Schizosaccharomyces pombe: one gene and its partner. The protein of the gene in region 1 interacts with the protein of each later gene in a pairwise test. Each region holds a gene or a part of one and is shown on either strand. Other genes may lie near its edges.

Region 1 (8,000 bases):
GGACAGTAGTTATAGGGAACTAGAAAGTTAGTCAATTTAGTTACGAGCTTGATTTTTATACTTACACCATCCTTTTCCTGCTCCAGCCTTATCCGTTTTAAAGCTACCAAATCTCCTGTGACTGTGTTAATGGCTTTGTATACTTTACCATAAGTTCCTTCTCCAATTTGGTCGATTTTCTCATAGGCAGGCTTTGGATATGTATATGTATAAATTGGGCCGGAAGGAGGAGAAGGAAGAGGAGCTGGAACAGACTCACGGGCCGTGGACGTGAGTGCCATACGTTTCGAAGGAGGTTGATCGAATCGAGATCGGCGTTCATTAGGTATATGAAAGTGAAATTTTCCATGTTTGTTCTCTGGAAAGCCAGAAGACACGCTAGATTTTTTTTGTGTATCGGAGGAAGTAGTTTCATGAGGGATAGAAGGAATAGGGGGAGGAGAAGATGAAGGTCTCCGCGATACCTTTCGACCGTTAAAAGCTGAAGGCTTCATATGTACAGAACTAGGCGGAGACCTTCGAAAAGAAGAAGCTTGCCTTTTTGAATCATTTCTGTTTGCGGACGGTGATATAGGTGAGACGGAGGCGCTAGAAGAGCTTTCAGAGCGTTTGGCAAAGTAATCCTTGGTAGTTAAATTACGTGCTCGTTTTTGACTACCTGAGCGGTAAAAGGAAGGTGATGGAGGTGAGCCAGGTCTAGGACTGAATGCCTTTTTACCCTTTCTCCTTCTAGATTTTCGAGAACGAAAAGGTCTTTCATGCTGTCTTGCTCGGGAAGAATGTGTATCGTTGAGAGGAAATGTTCTTTTCCGCTGTTCTCGAGGATCCTTCGCAGATGAGGATGGCGATATACTAGATGAATTATTTTTGAAAGCATTAGAGGACAGGGTGTGGCCTCCTAAAGACTCCTCATTTGTACCAGAAAGCTGAGACTTTTCTTCGACGGTACGCCGAAAGTGGCTATTTGGTTCTGTGCCTTGTCGGCGATAAATTGTACTCTTCGAGTATGACATTTAACAGGGTTAAAAAAAATAAAAAATAAAAAAAGGAATATTCCTAAACAATGAAGAGAATTACACGCAATCTGTGAGCGAAAATTCGATGGGAATAAAAGAAAAGAAATTAATCGTTAAAGTACGGCCAAATGTGTTTTTATGTAACAATAAATACAACTTCACCGGAAAAAAATCGTACAAGGGAAATAAAAGGTAAGCTGCCAAGACAAGCTAGTTAAATCCAGTGAAATAAATCATGCAATCTAATAAATGAAGAAAGGACAATTTTCAGAGTGGAGATTTTTTTCACCGCTAAACTATGAAGGGTGAACGTGAGACAAACCTTTTCAATCAATAGAGAAATCTAACCAGAGATTTGTGAATAAGTCGGTTGCAGAAATGTTATTGAAACGTAAATGTACAAAATATGAGTATCCACAAAATTAGGAAATACTTTTAAGTATCAACTCTTGCAGCTTAAAAAAATATACCGTAATTTTCTTTTAGTTGCACTCCTGATTTCTTTGATCTATCAATTCAAAATGTACATTGTTAAAAACACCAATTATCTCGAAATTTAATAAAGACAGAAATAAATTAGTTCTTCCTCTTCTATGACAATGAATGAAGTAGTTTGCAAGTCCACTAGTTTAATCAAGGGGCGATAGGTAAACTTCGTTGTTGGTGTGTAGTAGAAATAGAAATAAACGCGCGCGACTCAATTCCTTTACCACACCATACTTAAAATAATAAGTAATTTGAGGCTATGATGAATATCAGCTTGTTTTATAGAAATCAAAGTAAATAATGTATTTATTCAATGCTTAACTCTTAGCCATTTTCTCTTCCCCATTTGCTAAGATGGTCTTTTAACTATTAACTAAGTCCAACCAGTTATTCTCAATTCATATAATATTATTGGATTAAACCTTTTCATCTGAATTATATTAAGTTCATATTTAACATTTTAAAAAGCGATGAAGATAAATCTGGTAATCCGCATGGATCCTTGGAAATTGCCATTGGCGATAGTAAACCAAAGGAATCAAATGTCGACTAGATAAAGGCAAGTCTGAGCTTTTCTATTAGTTTTGAATCGTTTAAAATAATATTATTTATGAGAAATTAATATTCTACCATAAATTAGTGTTTTCCGTGAGTCTAAAGAATACAAAGTAAAATAATCAATAATATGCAACCCTTACATGTAAGGTAGGAGGGAATATATTATTTTACTGTATATAGAAGTTTTACATCCTTTCATAAGTATAACGTTATCACATTGGACGTTCTAGTAGAACGCCAGTCTTCAAAACATTAAAAATTCATATTCAGCCTCTCAAAATCTATTGTGTGCAAATTGTTTGCAAAGCTAAATTAATCAATAATATTTTTTTAAAAATTAAACAAAAATGCTTGGTTTTAGAAAGAACAAGGTTAGGTCAAGAGCTTCAAGATGAATAACTCATGGAATTCTGTTCCTGTTGTTTATTCAATTTTAAGAGTGATGATTTTGACATAAATTTGGTGCAATATTGTTTAAATAATAGTCTCATTAGTTAAACTAAATGTTTAAAAAAAAAAAAAATCATTGCAAAAAGCTAAATGAGCATAATTGATTTTTTATAAGTTTTTTTTTTCAAAAATGCAAACAAATAAATTAAATTTGTTTAATGAAATTAAAAAATAAAAAGGTAGATGATCGTACAAACGGCTACTACCAGTACGATATAATTTTTTATAAAAATTCCAAAACGTAAGCATAATTAATATGAAATAATAAAATATCATAGAAATTCAAGTGTACAAGGATCCTACGACCAAATGTTTGCTTTCATATGTATATATTCAATTCTAAATATTTATATAGCTTACTCAATTTGTGCAATTTTAACAAAGAAACGTGATTTTATTACAATAAATAGGTCATTAAAAAAATAAAAATTTGCACTTATATTCAATTGACTGACATACAAAACGTATTATCAGAGTTAGACTTAAATAAAATTTTCCTTATTCAACGGACATCCTATACTGGTTTCTGTGGATTTATGATATATTTGCATATGGTAAATTCAGCGAGAGAGTCCCTTGCACTCAATTATATTCACCAATAATACTTAATGAATCTTAATCGAAAAGACATGGACGTTGTGCTTTCAAATGCGAAAACCATATCTTCTTATTCAACATTTAATATGGGGTAAAAGTAGAGTACTTCTAATATCTTAAAGCAAAGCAAAAAAAATAAGCTCTTTTATTATGTTATATTTTCGTTAATAAAAATCGCTTCTTCAAACATTTATTCATCACAGGTGCGATATAAGAATCTGAGTTTGTACTCTATAGCAGCTCTTTTAGCTTTCAGTATTTAATTTATTCAAATGCTATATGCATAATTCCTTCATAGTTTGGCTATGTCTTATCGTTTCGTTTAGTATATTTACAATTCCATTTTATATGTGTTAAAGTAATTATCGAAGAAAGAAGACTATGTAGGGAGAAAGTTTATAAACTGTTAATAAATCGAATTGGTGTCAACTATTATTTAGTCTAACATCGGTAATCCACAGCAATAGCTTCAACGATATCCTTAGGCTTGAAAAAACAAAACTTTTATATAGGAGTTAAATTCACCAAATTATATTTAATTTTTTGGCCATCAATGAACAGGCCAAGTGCATTTTAATTAATGTTATATTGAATCGCACTGTGGAGCCTTAATCCATTTAAAGTAGATATAGTTAGAACTCGTGGTATTTCGCAAAGATACGTTATTCAGAAATATTAATTTTTGTTGTTAACTTGCGCCAGAGCAGCAACATATAGTGTTGCTTGTAATTACTTTAATTCAGCCATTTAGATTACATTCCAGTACTTATTTTTTGTGCTGTAAATCCCATTTATTTGTTATGTGCAATTGAATGTCCCCGGTATTTTGTATAATAATTATTTCTTCATACTGATAAAAAAATGTCGTCTTCTAAAGATTGCAAAGCTACTAGCAATGTCGATCAAACAATTCCTGCATCAAACGTGAACAGTGGTGACTTTATTTCATCGAATACGAGCAGTTCTAATAGCGAAAACTCCAATATTCAAGGAAAACATTATACCCAAGTTGGAGAGGATGCCGATAATTCATTTATTTCTGAAAATACTCCTAAAAACACTTTTGAATCAACTCAAACATATGAAAATCTGGAGAGTATTTCTAAAAATGAACCAACCTCTGAAGCATCAAAGCCCTTGTTAAATGAGTTAGTTCCTGAGGAACCATTGCCAAGGGAGCCGCCTTTACCAAATGAACCAGTTCCTGAGGAACCATTACCAGGGGAACCACCTTTACCAGATGAACCAGTTCCTGAGGAACCATTACCAGGGGAGCCACCTTTACCAAATGAACCAGTTCCTGAAACAAATTGCCATAAAGAATCTCCTTTATCTGACGAAACAGTTTCCGAAACATCAAAAAATGATACTTCTAACTCCCCTACAAATGAAAACCAAGCACAGCCTTCCATTGCTTGGTCCGAGGGTCATCGGATAGCCGCTATTTGGGACCCTTCTCAACAGGCTTACTATTTTTGGGACACTTTAACAAATACGACGAGCTGGAATAATCCGTTAGAAGATGAAGAGCAGACTAGTCCCCTAGATTACACAGCGAAAGTTCAGTTCAATCGCCTATCTGGAAAGTTTATGCCAAAATGGGCTTCACCAGAGTTGCGAAGTGAAGAAAACAAAGCACATAAGCATATGGAACAGTACTTTGACATCAATTCTTCATTGAATAGTCACAATGGCCAAAGTTTACTGGCAGAACGGAGAAACAAGCGATATACCAGGAAAGAGATGGAGCAAATGAAACGAAGAACAAAAGAGAAAAAAGAAATGAAACGAAGAGCGTTATATGACATCGCTTCAGATGAAAAGGACTTCCGCCGTCGCAAAATTATCCGTTATTAATGTTTTTATTCCATTGTTTCTTTCTTGTTTGCATGTTTTATTATTACTTTAAAACTTTAAAAAAAGTCTAAACAATTTACTATAATTTATGTAATGATATTTTTTTTTTTACTTAACTAAAAACTTTCAGTTTTGTAAGACTACTGATATCCAAACAAAGCTATTTTACAACATTATAAATCGAATGTTTAGACGACCTTTTGTGTTTGAATATCTTTCAAATTTAAAAAACATTCATATAGCAATATTCGTTTAATGTGCTACAGTGAACCATCGTTATTTTGATATCGTACATGTGTAAATAGAGCAAAACTTTTGCAGCTTTATTTTGCGATTTATTGATGGCAATTTCTTCATTATCTAGTCCTTCAGGGGCTCGCGTATCTTCAGTTACGGTGAAGAACAAGGTTCTGAAGACTCCTTGCTTTTTCCTTCCTACTTCCAGAGGAACTGTTCCTCATTTGACACCTGACAATGTTGAAGAATTCGATATTCCTGCTCTCTATGTAGGGTTGGAGGATTGGTAAGGTTTAAATTTAGGACTCAAATGCTTTATCATATCTTTTTTAATTTGAATTTCTAACTAATATGTTTGTAGCTTGGATCGTCTGGAAGCCTCACCAATCTTGACTAATGAGGGAACTATCAAAAAATGGATCGCAGCACCCTCTGTCCAACCTACTTTACTTGCTCCAAGAAGAACATCTCCTTTGCCATCTGTTTCTGCAGGACAAAGTCATATTAATATCGTTACTGCAAGTGGTGCAAAGAAACTGACAAATGACTTGTATATTAAAGCTGTCCTAAAGCTTTGTCCTGAATTAGTAATTCCTTTAAATGATACCCCAACTAGTCCTCCTGGTGTCAAAAGGAAGCCAAAAATTGTGGAACGGTCTGTCAATTGGACAACTGAGTTGCTTTTAGCACTCAAAGCGACGGACGCTTTCAATACTACTAAAGTATTTTTCCCTGTTCCTGATCTGGACACTCAGTACCTTACGCCTATTTTCCAGTTTTTTCAAGAAAATCAACTTGCTAACAACATTGCTGGCTTGGCATTTTCTAACAATGTCAATCCATTACCAGCTGATTTGGTTGGTCTCCCAAGACTGAGTATTCAAAAATTTGAATCACCACTCGAAATTCTGAAATGCATTCAAAGAGGAATTGACATTATTGTTCCAGATATGATAACACAAGCTACTGATGCTGGTGTTGCACTTACATTCTCTTTCCCGCCTCCTTCTAAAGATGTGTTGAATTCTAAAATTGAACTTGGCTTGGATATGTGGGACGAAAGGTTTGCTACTGACATGGAACCATTGCAATCCGGCTGCGTTTGCAAAACATGTCGTAGATACAAACGCGCTTATGTTAGGCATCTGTTACAGGCTAGAGAGCTAGTTGCTTGGATACTTTTACAGCTGTATGTTTATATTAAAGAGCATGGTAAAGAAAGCTAACGATTTGTAGACACAATGTTTATGCCTTCACTGCCTTTTTTCAAGGAATCCGCGCCTCCATACAAGAGGGAAACTTTGATGAAGATGTTAGAAAATTTGAAGAAATTTATATGACATCTTTTCCAGCATCCCATGGATTTGGGCCGCGTAAACGTGGTTATCAAATGGATTTGACAAACGTTCAGCCTGTAGAAAACAAGCCTGCTTGGATTTCTATGAAATCTCCTTTGGAAAAGGAAATCGCCAACGAGTATGAAGCTTTGAAGGTTACTGAAAGAAAGGAGGATACTCAGGATTACAATGAACCAGAACTGCATAATAGGTAGGTTACAGTAGCGTACATATTATGTCTAATGTTGACATTAGTAACGACCCAACAGTTGATCTTTACGCTGATACGTATGCTACTCAAGCTGCAACCGAAAGTGATTCAGAATTGGAAGATGCGCTCTTTTCACAGTTGGATGAATTTGATGATACTGCTTATCGAGAACAGAGATTGGAGATGCTAAAAAAAGAGTAAGAAAAAGCTTTAAAATGATTTTAAGAATTTAACCGTTCAGATTCGCTAGAGTGGAAGCTGCAAAAGAAAAAGGACACATGCAGTTTCTTACTGTAGAAAATGAGCGCGAAGTTATGGATTTTACGCTGTATGTCAAAACATTAGCTTCGATTATTTTAAACTAATTATTTTTTAGTTCATCAAAAAAAGTTGTTATACATTTTTACCACCCTGATTTTATACGTTGCAAAATTATAGACTCTCATCTAGAGGTACGAGGAGTTCCATTTATTGCTTACGCTAACATTCTCAGAAAATTGCCAAAGTACATTGGGAAACTAAGTTTATCCGTATTGAAGCAGCCAACGCTCCATTTTTGGTAGTCAAATTGGGTCTCAAAGTATTACCAGCCGTACTTTGCTACGTAAATTCTCAGCTCGTGGATAAGATTATCGGATTTGCTGATTTAGGTAATAAAGATGATTTTGAAACTTCACTCCTAGAATTTCGGTTGCTCAAGAGTTCAGCAATCGACCGATTAAAAGAAGAGAGTTCTTCAAACAAGTCTATTTACCACGATGAACTACAAAATAATCAATCAGATGACAGTGATTTTTTTGAATAAAAGGATCTTGGGATTACAAAGTAAGAAATTTAGATCAATGTGATGTATAATATATATCCTTTTAAAAAAATTTAAAATCTATCATAAGCCTACTGATGAGTGTAGCTATCGTAAAATGTACAGAACAGAAATCACAATGGAGTCTAAAGCAGTAACTATTTTGAAGCGACTTGTTTAACTGAGTCCATAAGTAAGGGAACTACTTTCTTTCTGCTAGCAGCGGAATTTCTTTGATTCCACATACTGAGGTCGCCATTATCTTTCTCTTCAATAATTTCTAATCCTAAATTTTGTTTGCTAAGTTTTAAGAAAGAATCGGCAAGACCAGCTCCCCTTTCAGTACGCTTGTATAAAATCAATTGACGACCAAACTCGTCGTTCTTACTCAGAGATAACCCAACAATTACCAAATCAGAATTTTGCACTTCGGCAAAACTTTTCAATTC
Region 2 (8,243 bases), 3.5 Mb from region 1:
AAAAACGGGCAACTGCATTTAATACCTTATACTCTAATTTTATTCAATGATCGAATTTGTCTTGTTCAAAGACGCTCCAAATCAAGTATTGCCTCAACTATATTGGATCTTCGTAAGCAAAATCCTCGCAATTCTTATTCCAAAGAAAAGCGTGCTCAATATATCGGTTCAAATATGAATGAAGCGGTTGAGTTGACAAGAAGTATGGTTGAGGAGAATACTATTTTTTTAATTTCCAAGTATGCATCTTCTCCTTCATTTTTTAATGAGTATCCTATTTTGAAGTTTCGTTGCGATTTTGAAAATGTAAGAACTATGGATAGGTTTTATCAGTCTTTTCAAAAAGCACTTTCAATGAACAAAAGCCAGCCTTCCTGCCTTAGTTTTTCAAAACTCAATGACTTTGTGGTTTTTTTTAATAACTATTCACGATTTGAGTATGAGAAAGAATCAAAACGCTCAGACATAGTATGCATATGCACCAATGATGCCAACGTTGATAAGCATAAATTTTTGCAAGACGGTAATATTGTCATTACTTTTTTTCAACAAGACGAAGATTTTCATTTAAGTTTCGATTCCTGGTTAGGTGTCAGTTTGCCTACTGAAGCTGTTATAGCTAAGGAAGACCTTAGGGAGGCTTGTCTTAATTATCTTATTAATATAAAAAGGCTTCTCCTATGCCCTTTTTCAAATAGAAATTTCTCAAGCTTGGATCTATACTCAAACCTTATACAGCATTTGCTTTCTGCTAATTCCAGCCCACGAAAAAGTAGGTTATCATTTGGAGGAAGGCCCGGAAGCCCTTCTAAAATCAGTTTATCATTGAACAGGTTTTATAATCAAGGCGGTTTATCAAAATCTTGTGCTACACTTCCTTCGCAAATGTACAATTTGGACCATAATAATATTTCACAAAAATCATTGAAGTTTAATACTCATAATACTTCGAAGGCTTCTGCTGAGAAAACTGTCGAACATCTTGAAGCTTTCAAAGGCGGATTTAAATATCATACAGGTAATATTGCAATTTGGATCATAACGTTAACTGAGCAGATTTAAAGAATTTACTATATCCACTGTCTGAAAAGGAGAAGATTGAGGGGGATGAGCTGTACGATAATATTTTGAAGGAAACTTTTAATGAAGAATTACTCTCTCATTACCCACCAAATATTATTTATGCGACCTTTCAAAAATATTTGAGCTCCTTTATCAATCGAAAATTTGGAGTTTTGCTTTCTTCTTCATTCATACAACAGTTAAATACTGTTGAAAATTTAAGTATGTATCGCTATCAAATTTGATTTTTTTTAACTAACATTGAAGATCTATCTTTCAATTCAACTGATGCAGTTTATCATTTGAAAAAAATCTTACAAGACTTACCCGAGAGTAGCCTAAAGATCCTTGAGAACATTTTTTCTATTGCTTCCGAGTAAGTCACCAAGCTTGTTTTTCAGAGGTTTTATTATCTAACGTCGTAGTTTGCTTTTGAGACTTCCTCTTAAAGATCAATGTGATTTTGTTACGAAACAACTAGCAATTGCCTTGGCTCCTTCCATGTTTGGAAGTAATGCTGTAGAACTTGTTTATTACCTTGCATACCACAGTGATCGCATTTTTGGAACAGTAGAGGAATTGCCGACTCCGGTTTCCCCTGCGAATTCCAATAATGATAAACAGTTAGATGAATCGAAATTCCAAGCAATTGCCATGAAAGAAATGCCGGAAAGACACCCTAAGGAAATTTTACCTGGTCAAATAGAACGAGAGGCATACGAGGATTTACGACGCAAATATCATCTGACTCTTGCAAGGTTGGCTCAAATGACTCGATTAAATGAAGATTCTAAAAAGTCTATCCCTCTGTTGTATGATCGCTTCAACCATGATCTTAAGCTTATAAAGCAATCAGTTCAAGCCAGTTTAATTAGAAAACAATGTGAACTAGATACCGCAAAGTGGACTCTTGAAGAGTATGAATCCAAGCTAAACGCTAAGGAAGGTTGTCAAACCAACATATTTATATAGCCAACTAGTCTATACTACATCGATTATTAGATTATTTGTTTTACTATTCCTTTTTTAGATATCAATAGTTATTTTTTTTATCCTTCAATATGTAAGTGAAAGTTAATAATACTCATCAAAAAGTTTTCTCTTATTTTTATAAATAGTATAGAATTGGAATATGCTACACCGTTTAAAATCTTCAGTTATGAAAACTAAGCATATAGTTTAGAACATATGAGAGTCATTGACATTCCATTGGAAATACTATAATTTTAAATATGCCGGAATGGTGTACTCAAGTAGAAATTGACGTTATGAAGGGAATGAGAAAGAAAGGTCTAAGTATAAAAGAAACTTGAAAAAAGCCTTTTTTAAAACGGCATAAGAATTCATAAGATAATGATTTAGCGTAGATAAAAAGAAAGCAAGCCTATATTGAGACGGAATAAGGCTCATGATGGAACTTAGTTTGCTTCAAATTGTTTACAAAAACCATGAGCTAATTACAAGGAGATTAAAGGGTAACGACGAAAGCTATAAAAAACAGCTATACACTTAAAGTGTTTTCCCAATGAATTGAGTAAGGCAATATTAAGATTGCCGCTGGGTCTCTTGGTACTTATTGAGCACTTCATTTATTTCATCTGACTTCCATATTTTGCAAACCATTTTGTTTTTCGTGGTATCCTTTGTTATTGTTGCAAATTCAATTTTTTCATGAGTTAGGGAGTTACTGTCCAACGTTTTACTCAAAAATTTCACGGCCATAGCAGAAGCCTCATCTAAGTTTATATCATCCTTATACTCCTGTCGCATTAAGCTTTGAACACTAGTACTATTTCCTCCGATACTATTTGCTTGCCAGCTTCCGTAATTTCCAGATGGATTAGATTGGAATAGCTGATATCCACGAATATGATCCCATCCAGCATATAAGAATGAAACACCGAATGGACGTAGCCCACCATACTGTGTATAACCTTGTTTGAGGTCACAAACGCGACGAACTAATTGCTCACAAGGCATCTCTTCATTAAAAGTCTGCAAGTATTGTTGCCCAACCCTTCTAGCGTAGTTAATTAGGATGTTTGCATCTGCGGTAAGCCCTGCCACAGCACATAACATATTGTCTCCTATATGATATAACTTTTCTGCGGATTCTTCTTGTTCTAATAGTTTGCTGGTAACCTTCTTTTCAGCAGCTAAAACAATTCCATCTTTAGCTACAATCCCTAAAGCAACGCCAGCATGGTTGATCGCTTCCAATGCATATTCAACCTGGTATAAACGACCTTCAGGTGAAAAAATAGTCGTGCGAGAATCGTAGCTTCTTGACATAATGAATTTGGTTGATGACAAGTTCGAAAATGCGCGAAGCACTAGATCACGAACATTAATGAGGTCTACCGAAGTGCGATTACCACACTTGCTTTATTCTTTATGTGCTTACTACACTACTATAACAGGACTGACTTTTACCTGTCTTCTAATACAATTAATCTATTATGATTTAAATTAGTATGTTGTTAATCCGCTTATTTTTACAAGCTATGCTGTACAACAAATGTCTTTATAAATGAGAGCTATTTTTACGATAATCAATTTACCTTTAGTACTTTCATATCCTCAAGATATAAAGTTATCAGTGTAGGTTGCTAATAATTAAAATCTGCTTGTAAAAATATTTGAACCAGAGGAGTCAATACTAGTGTAAAAATGTAGCTGCTTACAAATACTTCCAGCCTGCCGTTTAACGATTTACCACGAGTTATGAATTGCTCGTAAATTTATGCGGGTTGTTGTAAATTGACAATATTAAAATTGAAGTTCTCGAAAATGTTTTATTATATTGTACTTGGTAGACCATTTCATTAACTTCTTATTTGTTCTAAAGGAAATACTTGGGAAGACGCTACGTGCGGTGCTGTTATGAGGTTTTTGTAGTATATTCAATAATGTTAACTACACCTATGAATTTATGCAATTTATACAGATTTTTTTTAATAGTTTGTAGAAATTTTTTTGTAATTGACATAACTATTCAGCTGGATTTTGCAAAACTGTTCTATCTATTCTCACACACACGCCCACTGAATACTACCTAACATAGTGTCGAACTTAACTTCTTGATTGTACATATCTTAATGTCACAGCCTTTGCCTCCTGGATGGACTGAACATAAAGGTAAATTTAATGAGCAGTTTATTTGCTAACTCATAGCACCCAGTGGGATTCCTTATTACTGGAATGCCGAGTTAAAAAAAAGCACTTACCAGCGCCCAAGTTTCATTGAGAAAAACCATTCATCTTCTGTTACTGCTTCGCAAGCTTCTTTGGCGTTTAACACAAGCGAAAAGCTGTTTGTTAATGAAAATGCTGAAGAGCGCAAAAATTCTCGAGATTTGAGGAAACAATTACCGGACAGACCAAAATTCAAGTATGTGAGGCGTAAAATTTTGTTATTAACTTTTTTTTTAGAAAAAGAATTCCTAATAATGATTCATGGGTGGTTGTTTTTACTAAGAAAAATCGGTATTTCTTTCACAATTTAAAAAGCCATGAATCATATTGGGAACCTCCTTTGGAAATTAGTAAAGACTTGAAGATATTACGTCTTCCGATACGGAAGCAAATCAGTAAAGATTCCTCACAGAGTCAGAACGTTGATAGTGGTAAAACCAACCACGAAGAAATACATGAATCTAGGCATTTACAAACAGAGATTGAAGAGCCCTCTGGTTTAGAAGAATCATCGGAGGAATCCGTTTTATATTCTGAAGAATTTTATGAAAAATCTGATGAAGAAGAGGATGAGGAAAAATCACACTCCGCTGAAGAGTTGGAGTTTGGTGAGGAAGATATTATGTATCAACTTCAACAATTGGATGATGAAACAGTTTCCTATGATATACAGGAACAAGCTACAAATTTATCTACTGATGATGCTAGAAGAGTATTTACTGAACTTTTGAAGGACAAAAACATCGGGGCATACCAACCGTGGGAACTAGTTTATCCAAAGTTATTAGACGATGATCGTTTTTACGTATTAGATTCGGGAGAGAGACGAAAAGAGGTGTTTGAGGAATATTGCAAGTCGGTGGTTTCTACCAAAAAAATTACGCGTAGAAAAAATACCTTATCGGATTTTTGGACTTTGCTTCATTCACTTCCATCTACCTTGCTATGGCCTCAATTTAAACGTAAATATAGAAAGTCGTCGACTCTTCAAATTCCAGGATATTCGGAACGTGATTTTGAGAAACTTTTCCGTGAGTTTCAGATTCTACGAAAACAGCCTATGCAGGACAAACTGTTAAATTTTAAAAAGCTATGCAAGTCAAAAACTGTAGATCCTAAAAACCCCGACGAATTCACAGAAAGCATACTTAATGACACACGATATGCCGTACTGACGCGTGAAGAACTGGATTCCTTGGCTTGTTCAAGTAATTAATGAATTTTTTATTAAATAGGTGCTTAGAGAATTTCTCATTTATTAATTTATTTGGAAAAAAATTATTTTTTTTCGCGTACTCTTTTAAGCAAGTAGTTTGTCGACGGGTGAGTTTCTTTGTTTACCATCTACTACAATTATGAAATTTCATCCGACGCGTCCTTTGGGTTATATTTCGAGTTTTTTATTATTATTTCTTTTTTCTTTACTAGTGAGTCTACCGGAGATGTAGAATCATTTATGAAATATTCGAATGTGGCCTTTTCCGAGGGGTTAGCCGGTTTTGATTCTTTAGCTCACGTATATCAAGCACTCTTGAAAAAATCCACTTGCTATCAGGAAGTTGCTGCAACTTTAATTTCCAAATGTAGCTTATTGAATACTGAGTTGACTATCGATAATCGAATTCACTCAGCCATTCAAATGACTCTTTGCGATTTTGAACGGTCTCAAATTTTGGCTCCTTCAGAATGCGTTCGTGGCTCGCAAAGTGAATGTGTATCGAAGTTGGAGTCAACTTCTACCTGGTGGCTTTCATTCACTAGTCACTTTCATGATGTAAATCACTTATGCCGGTTAGCAAATCTGGAAATGCAAAAAGGTAAACTTTAAATAAACTCTAACAAACTAACAATATAACAAGAATTATCAATCGAGGTGAATATGAATGTAACTCTTGTGCAAAAGCAATTTTTGGAAATGGTAATTTTGCATTTGCGAAACTTTGAGAGCGTGACAGATAAAATGAATCAACGTATTGATAAGTTTGATGGAAAATTTAATTCAGTTATCGAAAATTCTTTCAAAGATATCAACTTTCGTGTCAACCAAGAAATTATGGGCTTAGTCGAATTGCAAAACCATCAACAGGAAGGAATGGTACAACAAAAAGAAATACTAAGTACAATCAAACAACTAAAATCGGAAATATTTGATATAAACTCCTTTTTCGCTAATTTTATTGAAGAAAGTGCTGGTTATTCCAATAGTTTAATTGAAAAATTGAATGAAAAGTTTACCTCAGAAAATGCAATTGCTCTTTCCGCTATCGGCAAATATACCAGTGAGTTCTCTGCTTTTATGGAAAAAAGGATAAAAAATTTAATTACTACAACCGAGGATTCATTACAGCAATCAGTGCAATCCAACATCGATTTTGTTAACTCAGGTTTTCAACCGTTATACGATCTTACAATTCAATTGAAAGAGGAGCTTCAATCATTGAAACGTTTATCCTCTGAGCAACAGGTTAGTTTTACTTAATGGTTTTTATATTCATCGTTATTGCTTTGTCTAACAGTACTGTATAGAATTTGCAACACGAACAGATACTTCAATGGAAGTCAGACTTCTTAAATGTCAGTAAAGATCACCTTAAGGTACTTCAACAGTTAAGGCCTCTTATTGACATTGTTGAGAAGTTTATGAATGTATATTTTAAAGGATTGTCCAACATTATTAGCAGTTTTGCTTTTATAGGCTTCACGCTGTTCGCTACCTTAAGCAGTTTATTTTTCAAAGTTTTAAAAATACATCGCCGACCGATTATTGTATTCGGCTCCTTATCAATAATCTTTATTCATATTTACTGCTTTAAGATTACCTCATGGGTGAATCTTTACGGATGGATCACTTGCACTATTGCGCGAACTCTCTCGTTTATTAAATTAAATATCCGTACTTTCTATCTGACAGCATTTTTATGTGCTTTATTAAATTTTCTGCGATATCTAAAATACCGAAATTCCAAAAAAGATACGGAGCTATCTCTTTTCCTTCCAGCACCAGAGGAGTGCAATATATATCATAATGAACATATTCAAGTTCAAGAAGACAATTATCTATGCCCAATAGAAAACTCGTTAATCGACCTCTTTGGCTCTGAAAATAATAAGGAAAAACTGGGCAAACAGGAAAATGTTAGGTTTGCTTTCCTGAATAGTGAAAGTTTGGAGCAATCTCCATGGTGGGATTAGTCATCTTTCTAATTCGAATTAATAAATTCTACATCTTAAGAATCTTTTTTACTCGTTTTCATTCACATGACATCAAAGCGTGATGTGAACGAGCATTTCGACTTAGAGCAATTACCGATACCTGTATGATATGGTAGAAAATTTTAGGCGCATAAAAAATGTCAACGTGTATGACTATGTTTGAGTTAAAACAATTGAAGATTAATCCCTATGAAATACAAAACTCCTTGTTCATTATTTCCTAAAGTGGTGAACTATTACTATCAATATTTAGAGGACATTAAGTCATTTTCATGAACAATCATGCGATACATAAATCTGAACACCTGTTCCATCACCTTCTTCAACATCAATTTATTCAACTAATTGAAATGGATTAAACTTACTAAAAATATCTTATATTCAAACTTTTTGCAAATCGTTCTCTCTGTCATCACCTTAGCAAAAACCTTATTATACTAAGTAAGAAAATAACCGAAAAAGTCGAAGGCAAATAATTTTCTTCTTAATTGAAGTGGTACTAAAGGTTTTTGTGATCCAAACGATTATAATATGTTACGTAACGTTGACAAAAACAGTAGTTTACGAAATGGTTTATCTAGATTCTTCAGTGAATGTGAAATACTAGCTTAACGCCTGTCGTCAATTGCTTGACCATTTATCCCGTTTGTTCATTCATGCTACACACATGAGGACATAACGTAATTATAGCGGTTAGAACTCGCAAAATTCCTACATATATATACTACCCGTCTAGTTCATATTTTTTCCAAGGCTTTTATTTATCAACTAAA

What was found.
Region 2: the proteins of saf2 (region 1) and dre4 interact in a two-hybrid assay, tested with the Schizosaccharomyces pombe proteins (one large-scale study listed by BioGRID).

The regions. Positions count from the first base shown.
Region 1 is NC_003424.3:3,947,484-3,955,483, reverse strand, and holds saf2 (splicing-associated factor Saf2), read left to right. Parts: upstream 1-3,812; 5' UTR 3,813-3,968; coding exon 3,969-4,964; 3' UTR 4,965-5,088; downstream 5,089-8,000. Other genes in the region: P-TEFb-associated cyclin-dependent protein kinase Lsk1, read right to left, coding at 1-19, 66-1,013; qtr2 (queuine tRNA-ribosyltransferase accessory subunit Qtrtd1/Qtr2), read left to right, coding at 5,306-5,487, 5,563-6,427; plp1 (thioredoxin domain-containing protein), read left to right, coding at 6,538-6,749, 6,794-6,946, 6,991-7,077, 7,126-7,201, 7,243-7,554; ppx1 (exopolyphosphatase), read right to left, coding at 7,710-8,000.
Region 2 is NC_003424.3:421,870-430,112, forward strand, and holds dre4 (splicing-associated factor Dre4), read left to right. Parts: upstream 1-4,108; 5' UTR 4,109-4,160; coding exon 4,161-4,200; exon of another isoform or gene 4,201-4,236; coding exon 4,237-4,453; exon of another isoform or gene 4,454-4,494; coding exon 4,495-5,473; 3' UTR 5,474-5,546; downstream 5,547-8,243. Other genes in the region: RhoGEF Gef2, read left to right, coding at 1-1,018, 1,057-1,284, 1,330-1,438, 1,488-2,034; pre9 (proteasome core particle subunit alpha 3), read right to left, coding at 2,608-3,354; nuclear membrane protein Tht1, read left to right, coding at 5,714-6,074, 6,117-6,721, 6,784-7,449. UniProt on the Schizosaccharomyces pombe protein: Component of the spliceosome involved in mRNA processing.